Linked DNA regions of Rattus norvegicus. The protein of the gene in region 1 purifies or fractionates together with the protein of each later gene. This does not show direct contact. Links are inferred from orthologs where the notes say so. Each region holds a gene or a part of one and is shown in the gene's direction. Other genes may lie near its edges.

Region 1 (4,689 bases):
TATATATATATATATATATATATATATACACACTGTAGCTGTCTTCAGACACACCAGAAGAGGGCATCGAATCTCTTTATAGATGGTTGTGAGCCACCATGTGGTTGCTGGGAATTGAACTCAGGACCTCTGGAAGAGTAGAAGGTTGCTCTTAACCGCTGAGCCATCTCTCCAGCCCTAACATATAACTTTTATACTCAACTAGATCAAGTCTATTTTGCAAAAAAAAACAAAAACAAAAACAAAAAAAAACTAAACAACCAAGCAGACCCCACATAAAACAATTTTTTAAAATGATTTTTCAAAAGTGCTCCACCGCTGAGCCATATGCTTGCCCGTTCTGCTATACTTCATTTTAAGTTTCTTCTCTCAGGGGGCTGGGGATTTAGCTCAGTGGTAGAGCGCTTACCTAGGAAGCGCAAGGCCCTGGGTTCGGTCCCCAGCTCCGAAAGAAAAAAAAAAAGTTTCTTCTCTCAGAATCTGGTAGCCCGGTTCCCTCTTAATTACCCCAATTAATCTCTAATTCCCAATGATAAAAGGTCAGCATTCCCCCTTCGGTTATTAACTTTTGATGTTTTTGGTAAGTAATACATCAATACAGCAGTCTCCCTTAGCTGCGGTTTTTAGCTGCTTTCCTATTTAAATTACCCACGGACAATATAGTTCAAAATACTAAGGACTTCATAAATAATTAACTCCTAAGTTTTTAGTTGCCACCCCCCTCTGAGTATTATGATGAAAATTTGCTTTATCCTGCTTTAGTCCAGCTGGATTTTCTAAACACCCTTTATAGTGTATCCCAACTAGGAGTCACACAGATCAACTGTTAAGTACTCAGTGCCTGAACTGGGTCCTCTTCAGTTAGTTAAGCCTAACGCTAAGCTACACCGCCTCCATCAGCACACCCAAGTAAGGCAGTAAAGGCAGGGCTCCGCGAAAGGATGGATTTCATCTACCCTTTCTTCAAAGGAGCAGCTCTCCTGACTTGGCACGCTAAGGTCGCCTCTCGATCAGAGCGATGGCACGCTAACTCTGGTTGTGGGGTACCCGCTAGGTTGGGGAGGTGGGAGCAGAGCTTAAAGGACCAGCGAGATGGTTGTTTGGGTCTAACAGGCGAGGTGTGTCTCTGATAGGCTGAAGTAACGAGGCTGGGGAGGTGGTGTCCAGGACACAAGCAACCTCATTCGTCTTAGGAAAGCTCACGAACGTCCGTTTTATAACAAGCCACTGCAGAGCCCCGTGAGGCCAAGAGGACGCCTCTGGAATTAAAACAGGATCAGACCCTGGTTTCGTCACGTTCGAATTATGTAAGTCAGAGCAGGGCACCGAACCTTTCCCGAGCCTCTGGGTCGCTACCCCCAATGAAGGACGACGGTCCCCGCCGCGCTGGGCGCACGTGTGTCTGCGGGCGCCAGCCACCGCGCCCCTCCGGGCGTGCGAGCCACGGCCTGAGCGCTCCGGGCGGCGAGCGGGTGAGCAGGAGGGAGGCGGCGCCGCGAACTCGCCGCGGGTGCTGGGCCGCGCTCCCCGCGTTTGAAGTCTCCGGCGCGGCCGCTGGTTGGCCGGCGCGGGTCACGTGCGCGCGGGCAGGAGTTTCCCCGACAGCTGGAGGCTGCGTGGGATCCGGCGGCGGCGGTGGCGGCGGCGGCGGCGGCTGCAGCTCGCGGCGCGGCCTTCCCCGCCCCCTCGCCTCCGCGCTTCCGCCGGCCCCTCGCCTCGGCGCTGACAGACGGGCCGCGGCCTCGCGCGCGTCGGCAGCGAGCATGGGCGACAAGAAGAGCCCCACCAGGTAGGGCGCCCGCCGGCGGAGCGCCCGCGGCCCGGTGGCGCGGCCCGGGGCGCGCGCGTGTGTGTGTGTGTGTGTGTGTGTGTGTGCGTGTGTGTGTGTGTGTGTGGAGAGGGGGTGCGGCGCCGCGCGCCGCTGCCCACAATGGGCCGCGATGGCGGCCGGGGTCAGCGGCCGCGCTCCCCTCCCCCGCGCGGCGCCGGGCGGGGCGGGGGTCGCGGGCCGGGCGGGGCGGGGCACGGGGCCGGGCGCGGCCTGCGGCTGACCCCGCGCTGCGTCGTGTCCGGTTGTGTCCTGCAGGCCGAAGCGGCAGCCGAAGCCCGCCTCGGATGAGGGCTACTGGGACTGCAGCGTCTGCACCTTCCGGAACAGCGCCGAGGCCTTCAAGTGCATGATGTGCGATGTGCGGAAGGGCACCTCCACCCGGTGAGTCCCGCGCGTCCGCGGCCCGCGGCCCCCGCGCGACGCGGGACGGCGGGGCGGCCAGCCAGGCGGTGTCCGCGGTGGGGCGCGACCCGGCTGAGCCGCGGCTTGCGGCGAGGGATCGGTGGCGGCCGCGGCGGCAGCGGCGACGTGGTCCGCGACGCCTGCTTCGGGGGATGAATTATGGAAGGGGGTCGCCGGCCGCTGCTATTCAGTGCGTGGCCGGCGCGGTGTCCCCCTCCCCAGCCGGGCGCGGAGACGTTGGCCGCATTGTGGTGTTGGTGTGCGGGGAGGGGGCGGGGACGGGGACGGGGAGGGGGAAGGGACGGAGGAAAGGCCGCGATGTCATTCGGTCCCCCTGGGGAAAAAGTATCGCTGTAGGATCGTAATAGATCAAACTTTCTTAGTAACGGATGTCCGGAAGGGTCAGGCCAAGGTTTCACGTCTGGTTTTTGTTCCATTTCTGTAATATTTTACAATTAAGTAGTTGGGAGGCGAGCCCAGCAACGCATTTTTACTCGAGTGCCTGAATATCTTTACACAAACGGGGTATCCTGATCTTTGTCTGTTTCTGGCCCTAAATTTGTGGTGTGGTAGATATATAGTATTGTCTTTTAAAAACATTTAAAAAGTCAGTGGCCTTTTTGATCCGTCTCCACCTGGTCACAGGTCCCTTGCAGGAAGGCAGACTTTAAGTTCATTTCTTTGAGTCCTGTGATTTGTAGCAATGTTTAAGTAACGTATTTATTTTGCTACTCTGAAGCCTATTAGAATATAAATTATCGCAGAACATGGGGAATTTTCTGTTTGAAAAAGAGGGCCTGTATAATTTTGACATTCTAAATAGTCAAAGTTGTTTCTAAAAAGGAGGTATCCCGGTTTTAAAATTCAGTTTATAGAATTTTATTAACATGGTGAGTGTAGAGACATGTAGAGATTTTATTGTTTCTACAATACTGGCCGCTTTTGACAGACCTATCGTGTAAATCTCAATAGGTTTTTTTTTTTTTTTTTTTTTTTTTTTTTTACTGTGAGTCCTCATTTACATCGAATAGAATATTTTCGGCGTTTCTTGGCATCTATTAAAAAGCAAGGTTTTAAATACTTTTTAAGTTCAAGGAAAGATTCTAAAATGAGAAGCTACTTCTATTTTTGGACTCCTGTTATAAGTGTTTTGAAAAGCACAGGGTGTATGTCTGTGTAAGGATGGGAATGGCTTAGTGTGTACTGTATACATATTTGGACATACGCAATATGTAGCTCATTTGATTGGTTATTTTGAGGCAGGCGTTTTGAAGTAGAGACAATTACTATAACCCTGATCTCTGCCACTATATTGGTGCCTTTTTTGTTCGCTTGTTTTTGTTTTTCCTTCTATTCTCTCATACTTTTAGGAATTAGACGAGTCTGTTTGTTTATTTGCAGGGACAGCAAGGATAGGGGGAAGCTGGTGTCCTACTCCACAGCCAGTCTTGGGCTTAGAGGAACGGAGAAGTAGAGTAGGTGGTGACACTCAGAAGAGAAGCACCAGGCTGAATCCCTGCCCCTGGAAGGATTGTAGTGCACAGGGGAGTTGGCCCAGGACAGAAGTGGGCCTACTTTAAAAGGGGCCTGGGGCCCACTTGGAAGCCCCTGACTTTTTTTATTACCAGTATATCTGAGCTCTTGTAGATCCAATTTTTAGTGGTGGAAACATTACTTGAGGAGGACTCAGAGAAGCATTGTCATTTGGATTGAAACTGAAGAGGCTCTGGGCCACTCACCAGAAGTCTTAAGGGACACTGTGTTCCCAAAAGTAAGTGTTCTGCACTATGACCCTCTCAGCTTCTTCCTCTCTCTGAATTGTCTCTTTTGACTTTGCCCCTAAATTAACTGTAGGAGCTCGAGTTTCTCTGCTGTTATGTTTCCTTCTGCTTCTTCTGAAGTCGAGTGGCATCCACGTTTGGATAGAGCCATAGACGTACACCAGGGCCTTGTTAATACGAAGATGCAGGTTACATGAGACTGTTTCCGTAGAGGAATGAGAGGAAAACAGGACGGAGGACTGCGGAGCACAGATGGAAGGCAAGAGTTGAGGAGTTGGGGGTTATTCCCCCAGTTGACGTGTTTATTGGCAGGTAGAATTTAAAGAGTAAGGCTGGCCAGAGGGAGAGCAGGGAGCAGGCAGCTGCAGCACAGGGCTACAGCTTGCTAATGACTTGTTTGTGTGACCACAGCCAGCATTTGAATCCCTTGGGTCAGAACGACCTCTGAACTGAATCTGTTTCAGTTGCCATGTAAAGCCAAGCCTAAGCTATTCTAGATGTCTGAAAGCTTTTCTTCTTTAAGTCTTTATAAAAGATGGGTTCATAGTATTTCTTCAATATTTCACTGGAATGGATGTATACACACCTATATGTAAAATTTTTATTAAAGCACCTGATTCAGATGCTCTATAATGGAGCAGACAATTACTTTCCTTGGCTGCATCTTTGATAGGT
Region 2 (4,511 bases), on another chromosome or scaffold:
TTCTGTCTGTCGCCCCACCACCTGTGTGCTGCTGCTCTGGACCTGTTTGCTCCCCAGAACTCTTCAGACTCCCCCTTGCTGCTGTCACTGCTCTGCTGATGCTCTGTGGTTTATCTCTTCATATTACCAGTCTAGCTTGTAAACCGTCACCTGAGAGGAGTTCCTATTGGATGAAAGACTCTCCCAGCTTACTGAAAAAGTTAGCCAAATAGCTTGTTTATATAGTCAGAAATGGGGTGTGGCAAGGATGTTTGCACCAATCACAGCCTTTCTGCTCAGCCATTACAGATGCTTCCCCCTCCACCCCACCCCCACCCCCTCCCATCCTGGGTGAAGATGGTTACTAGAGCTTACTAAAGCTTGTGATGGTAAGAGGTCTGGTGCAAGCTATTGAGATACTCATGCCTTGGGTATTGCCTTCTGGAACGGTAGCTGTGCTTTAGCAATAAGCTGCTGTGGTTACAGTGTTGCTTCCTCAAAGCAGCTGAGGAAGAGTTCTAAACAGGACAGCAGCTTGAGGACTGTTCAGTCAAATGCTAACTCGTCTGACCAAGGAAGCTAGGTAATAGAGAAAGATCTGTTTGGGAGTCAAATTTGGCTTCTCCACCCCTCAGAATAAAATTTGGTCGCTCACATTAACAGTTGTCTGATAGTACTGAACAGCGCTCTGGTCTTTAGTCCCATATGCTTGGGAAAAGTTGGGTCATTTTATCTGAACCACTTGGACTGATTTGCAAGCCACAGTCTATTCTTCTCCCAGGCTCTCCAGCTTTAGTCTTACACATACATACACACACACACACACACACACACACACACACACACACACACACCTGTCTTTCAGGCTGCTCCCTCTGACTGCCCAAGTTCAGGCCCTGTGGCTGTGGAGGTCAATAGTTGAGCAGAGGTGGGGGATCTTGTCTCTGCATTGTCCAATATGCATCCTAACAGCCTTTACTTTGTTCTGTATAAATGTACAAGACTCCTCCCCCTGTGGTGCACATGCAGGTACTTTAAAGCACGCTCAGAACTGGTCATTTTTTTCCCTTGTGTGTACACACTCACCTATTCTTTTCAGTGTGCAGGCATTAAACATAGGTATCCATATTTGTATGCACAGAGGGTTCTCTTCTATATATACGTCCAGGCATGCACACACACGACTCATACTCCATGAATACACACGTGTCTGTATAGCGAGACTATGGATATACACAGGTGTGCACACATCATCCTTTCCCTATGTGTACATGCAGGTATGGCACACACCACAGACTTTTCACCGTTGGCGCGCGTGGCACACACACATACACACAGAGGCAGACACGTGGCCCTCTTCTCCCTGCGCATGCACACAGACATGCATACAGTTGGCCCTTGGTGTACACACACAGAGGCGCGCACACACGTGGCCTCTCTCCGAGCGCACATGGAGGCGCGCGCAGCGCTTTTCAGCGTCGGCGGCCGCCACACGCGCACGCGCGCACAGGTCCCTCCCCTATCCCAGGGCGGGTAGCACCGGCGAGAGGCGCGGGAGATGAGCGGCGGGAGGAGGAGGAGGAGGAGGGCGCCGAAGGCGCGAAAAGGCGCGCAGGCGCGCTGCGCGGAGCGGGCCCGCCGCCGCCCACGTCACCGCGCCGCGCGCACGTCACGCCGGCCCGACGCTCGGCCCAGGGTGAGCCCGCGTCCCGGCGCCGCTGGCTCAGGGCAGGGACCGCCAGGGCCGGACCTCCGGGCCGGCGCCCCCGCGCCCCCGTCGTCCGCCCCGCGCGCCCCGCCGGCCAGCCAGGTGTGGCGGGGGCACCGGCCGGTCGCGGCGGGAGGGCGCGGGCTGGGCGCGCGGCCCCGTTCCCGCCCCAGCCCGGTTCCCGCGTCCGGTCGCATCCCGCCCGCCGCCCAGCCTCAGCCCGGAGTCGGCCTCGACGCGGCGTGGCGTGGGCGGCAGGCAGGGGTCCTGGCCACCCTCCGGCTCTGTCCGCGCCAGCGCGCGAGGCTGGTGGCCGGGCCTAGTGACAGGTGGGGCGGCCGGGCGGCCGGGAGCCCACCTGTCAGAGTGGTCGGCGGCACCTCGGGGTCTTGGGCAGCCCCGGGGCCTGCTGCAGCCCGGGCAGAACCACGCAGTGTCGTGTGCCTAAGTGGGGGGCCTTGTGACTCGGTGGGGCCTGTGGTCAGGCGGGGCCCGCGTGCCCAGGTGGGGTGAGCCTGACGGCTGCGCCTCGCTCCGCCAAGGGGCCGGGGTCTGGCCCCTCTGCGGGTGGGAGCTGCTGGTGCCCGCAGGGAGCATTTCCATTTGGAGAGGTGACTTAAAATCCCTGTGTGGGACCTGCTTGGCTAGCTCTCCTGTTGGGATTGTGCAAGAAAGGCCCCTGCTGCCTGGAGGCCTGCCTCGTGCTGGTGGGGAGATGTTTCCTTTGAAATGCGATGTGCGTTAAACTTCTTTTTTTTTCATTCTCATTCATTACTCGTCCCCTTCCTTTTTACCAGATAAGTCCGGTTTCTTCTGTGGAGGGTACGCAGTTAAAGCCTTGATTTCCTGGATCTGGTAACATGGCAAAAGATGTAAGTATGAGTTCTGCATGCTGCAGACATGTTAGCATAGCTCGCTGCAGTTCTCTCCCTTTATTTGAGAGTGGCCATACCTGCGTGGCAGTGGTTTGCTCAGACATTTTACAGGCAGGAGCTGGGATGGAGGTGAGGGGTGGCCAGTCAGTAGGTGGGTGCCTCCCCTCCGCACAAATGTTCTTTGTCATCTGAAGCCTGGCACGTTTTTTTTTTTTTTTTTCTTTGTGGTTAAGATGATGATGTCTGGATTTTTCTTTAATCTATCTAAACCGCTTGAATACAAAATTTGTGTTTGAATGCATCTCCCAGTTGAAATGAACGTGTGAGGGGGGTATTTTGCTAGTGGGTTTCCACGAAGGAGAGCTGTCAGCATGCAACTTACGATGCATTATGCATGAAACTTAACTTGTTTTATGTAGTATGTAAGACCGTAATTCCACTTTGATGGGTTGAATCCCAACTACTTGTTTGGGCACATTTTTCTCTCAGAAAGATGACGTTTGGTGGTTAATGAAACACGGAAACGCTGGTTGGTTAAGCTTCGTATTTACTACAAAGCTACTGAGCATTTGAAATTTCTTTTTTGAAATGGGTACTGACAGTTAGGCTTTTAGGGGGCAAAAATACAGTCTGTGATTTTGGTCACATACATGTTCGCAGTATTACTTTATAACTCCCTCCAACACTGATCGTGCCTGTGCCAGTGTTTCAGCATTCACTGTCCTTTGACTATTAGATGAGTGTAATTTTCTGTGCAGCCCTGAAAATGCAGGCAGATAATACCACATCAGCTAGACTTGTACCCAAGTGCACTGAAACTGTGGCGCAGGTACCGAGTCTTGTCCTGACTTAGAGGCCCAAGGATTTAGTCATGCCTAGTGGCCCACCTGGATCAGACGGTGTCCGTCTTATGGTCATCAAGCACTGGACCTGCTCTTGGGAGTCGAGTTCCACCCTGAGAGACCGTGTGTAGGTCACCTGAAGTCACAGCTGTATGTGGCGTGGGGCTCGATTTCGTTATGTCTGTTGTTTGCCTGCCTCCACGTCCTGACTCTTCCCCCCGTGTGTGCCTAAGGAGAGACGTGCCGCTCAGTGCGTGCCCACAAAGTAGCTAGGTCTGGTAAACGGTGTGTAAGCAGGGCACTGGCTCCCGTGCCTTCGTTGAGACCCCATGGCCTGGTGTGGTTTCGGGGATCATTGCATCTTCTTCAGTGATCTTCAGTGAGTCAGCATGCTCCAAGTCCTGTCACCTCAGTTTTGCATCATGCACTCCTGTGTGCTGTGTCCCTGGGGAAGGGGTGGGTGGGTGGGTAGACACCATGATGGCAAGTGGTCAGGATGTCCTATCCAGTGGAGAGTGTGAGGCCAGCTGGTTTGGGGTTAGCCATTGTGGTATGGTGAGGCCAGTGCTGTGACTGGGTAAGAGCGCTGCTGCTTTGTCCCTCCACAAGTGCGCACAGACCTGGGCAGAGGCGAAGCGGCTCCCCCTGTTCTCTGGCTGGAAGTGGGGGTTGCAGGGTTGGGCCTTCCCTGTGCTTTTTCAGTAGGATGCAGTATTGGGGTTTGGAAAGGGACTTTGTAACCTGTGCTGAAGGGTAGGAAAGAGGCACCACTGGAGCTGTGTAAGCACTTGATGCTTAAGACGAACTCTGGCTGTAAAGTGCACTGTCGACATGGGGCTCGGAAGGCCATGACGCTGGCGAGAACAGAGGGGCAAAAGTCACGCTCTAGGTCTCAGAAAGGGCAGACAGAAGACAAATAGCTTAGGGGCTTTTCTGCCCCTGCTGGTGCCCAGGCAGAGCATCGAGTATGTTGGGCTCCCTGTGGACTGTGGGCTATGGAATGGGGCAGGCAGGAGCTGGCAGACGAGCAGTGGTAGAGGGGTGGTCTGTGCCTGCAGGTACTCGGGGTCTTTCCTGTGGTACTGTAGACCGTTCATGGGGACAGCA

The links. The genes of interacting proteins can lie anywhere in the genome.
Region 2: the proteins of Yaf2 (region 1) and Tfdp1 purify together in Homo sapiens (affinity purification with mass spectrometry; 3 studies listed by BioGRID and IntAct, counting the BioPlex papers as one, with this or other methods). This does not show direct contact. The link is inferred for Rattus norvegicus from reciprocal best matches to the Homo sapiens genes YAF2 and TFDP1.

Annotation. Positions count from the first base shown.
Region 1 is NC_086025.1:126,375,734-126,380,422, reverse strand, and holds the start of Yaf2 (YY1-associated factor 2), read left to right. Parts: upstream 1-1,763; coding exon 1,764-1,789; intron 1,790-2,086; coding exon 2,087-2,212; intron 2,213-4,689. UniProt on the Homo sapiens protein: Binds to MYC and inhibits MYC-mediated transactivation. Also binds to MYCN and enhances MYCN-dependent transcriptional activation. Increases calpain 2-mediated proteolysis of YY1 in vitro.
Region 2 is NC_086034.1:82,900,145-82,904,655, reverse strand, and holds the start of Tfdp1 (transcription factor Dp-1), read left to right. Parts: upstream 1-1,489; 5' UTR 1,490-1,675; exon of another isoform or gene 1,676-2,298; intron 2,299-2,484; 5' UTR 2,485-2,547; coding exon 2,548-2,559; intron 2,560-4,511. UniProt on the Homo sapiens protein: Can stimulate E2F-dependent transcription.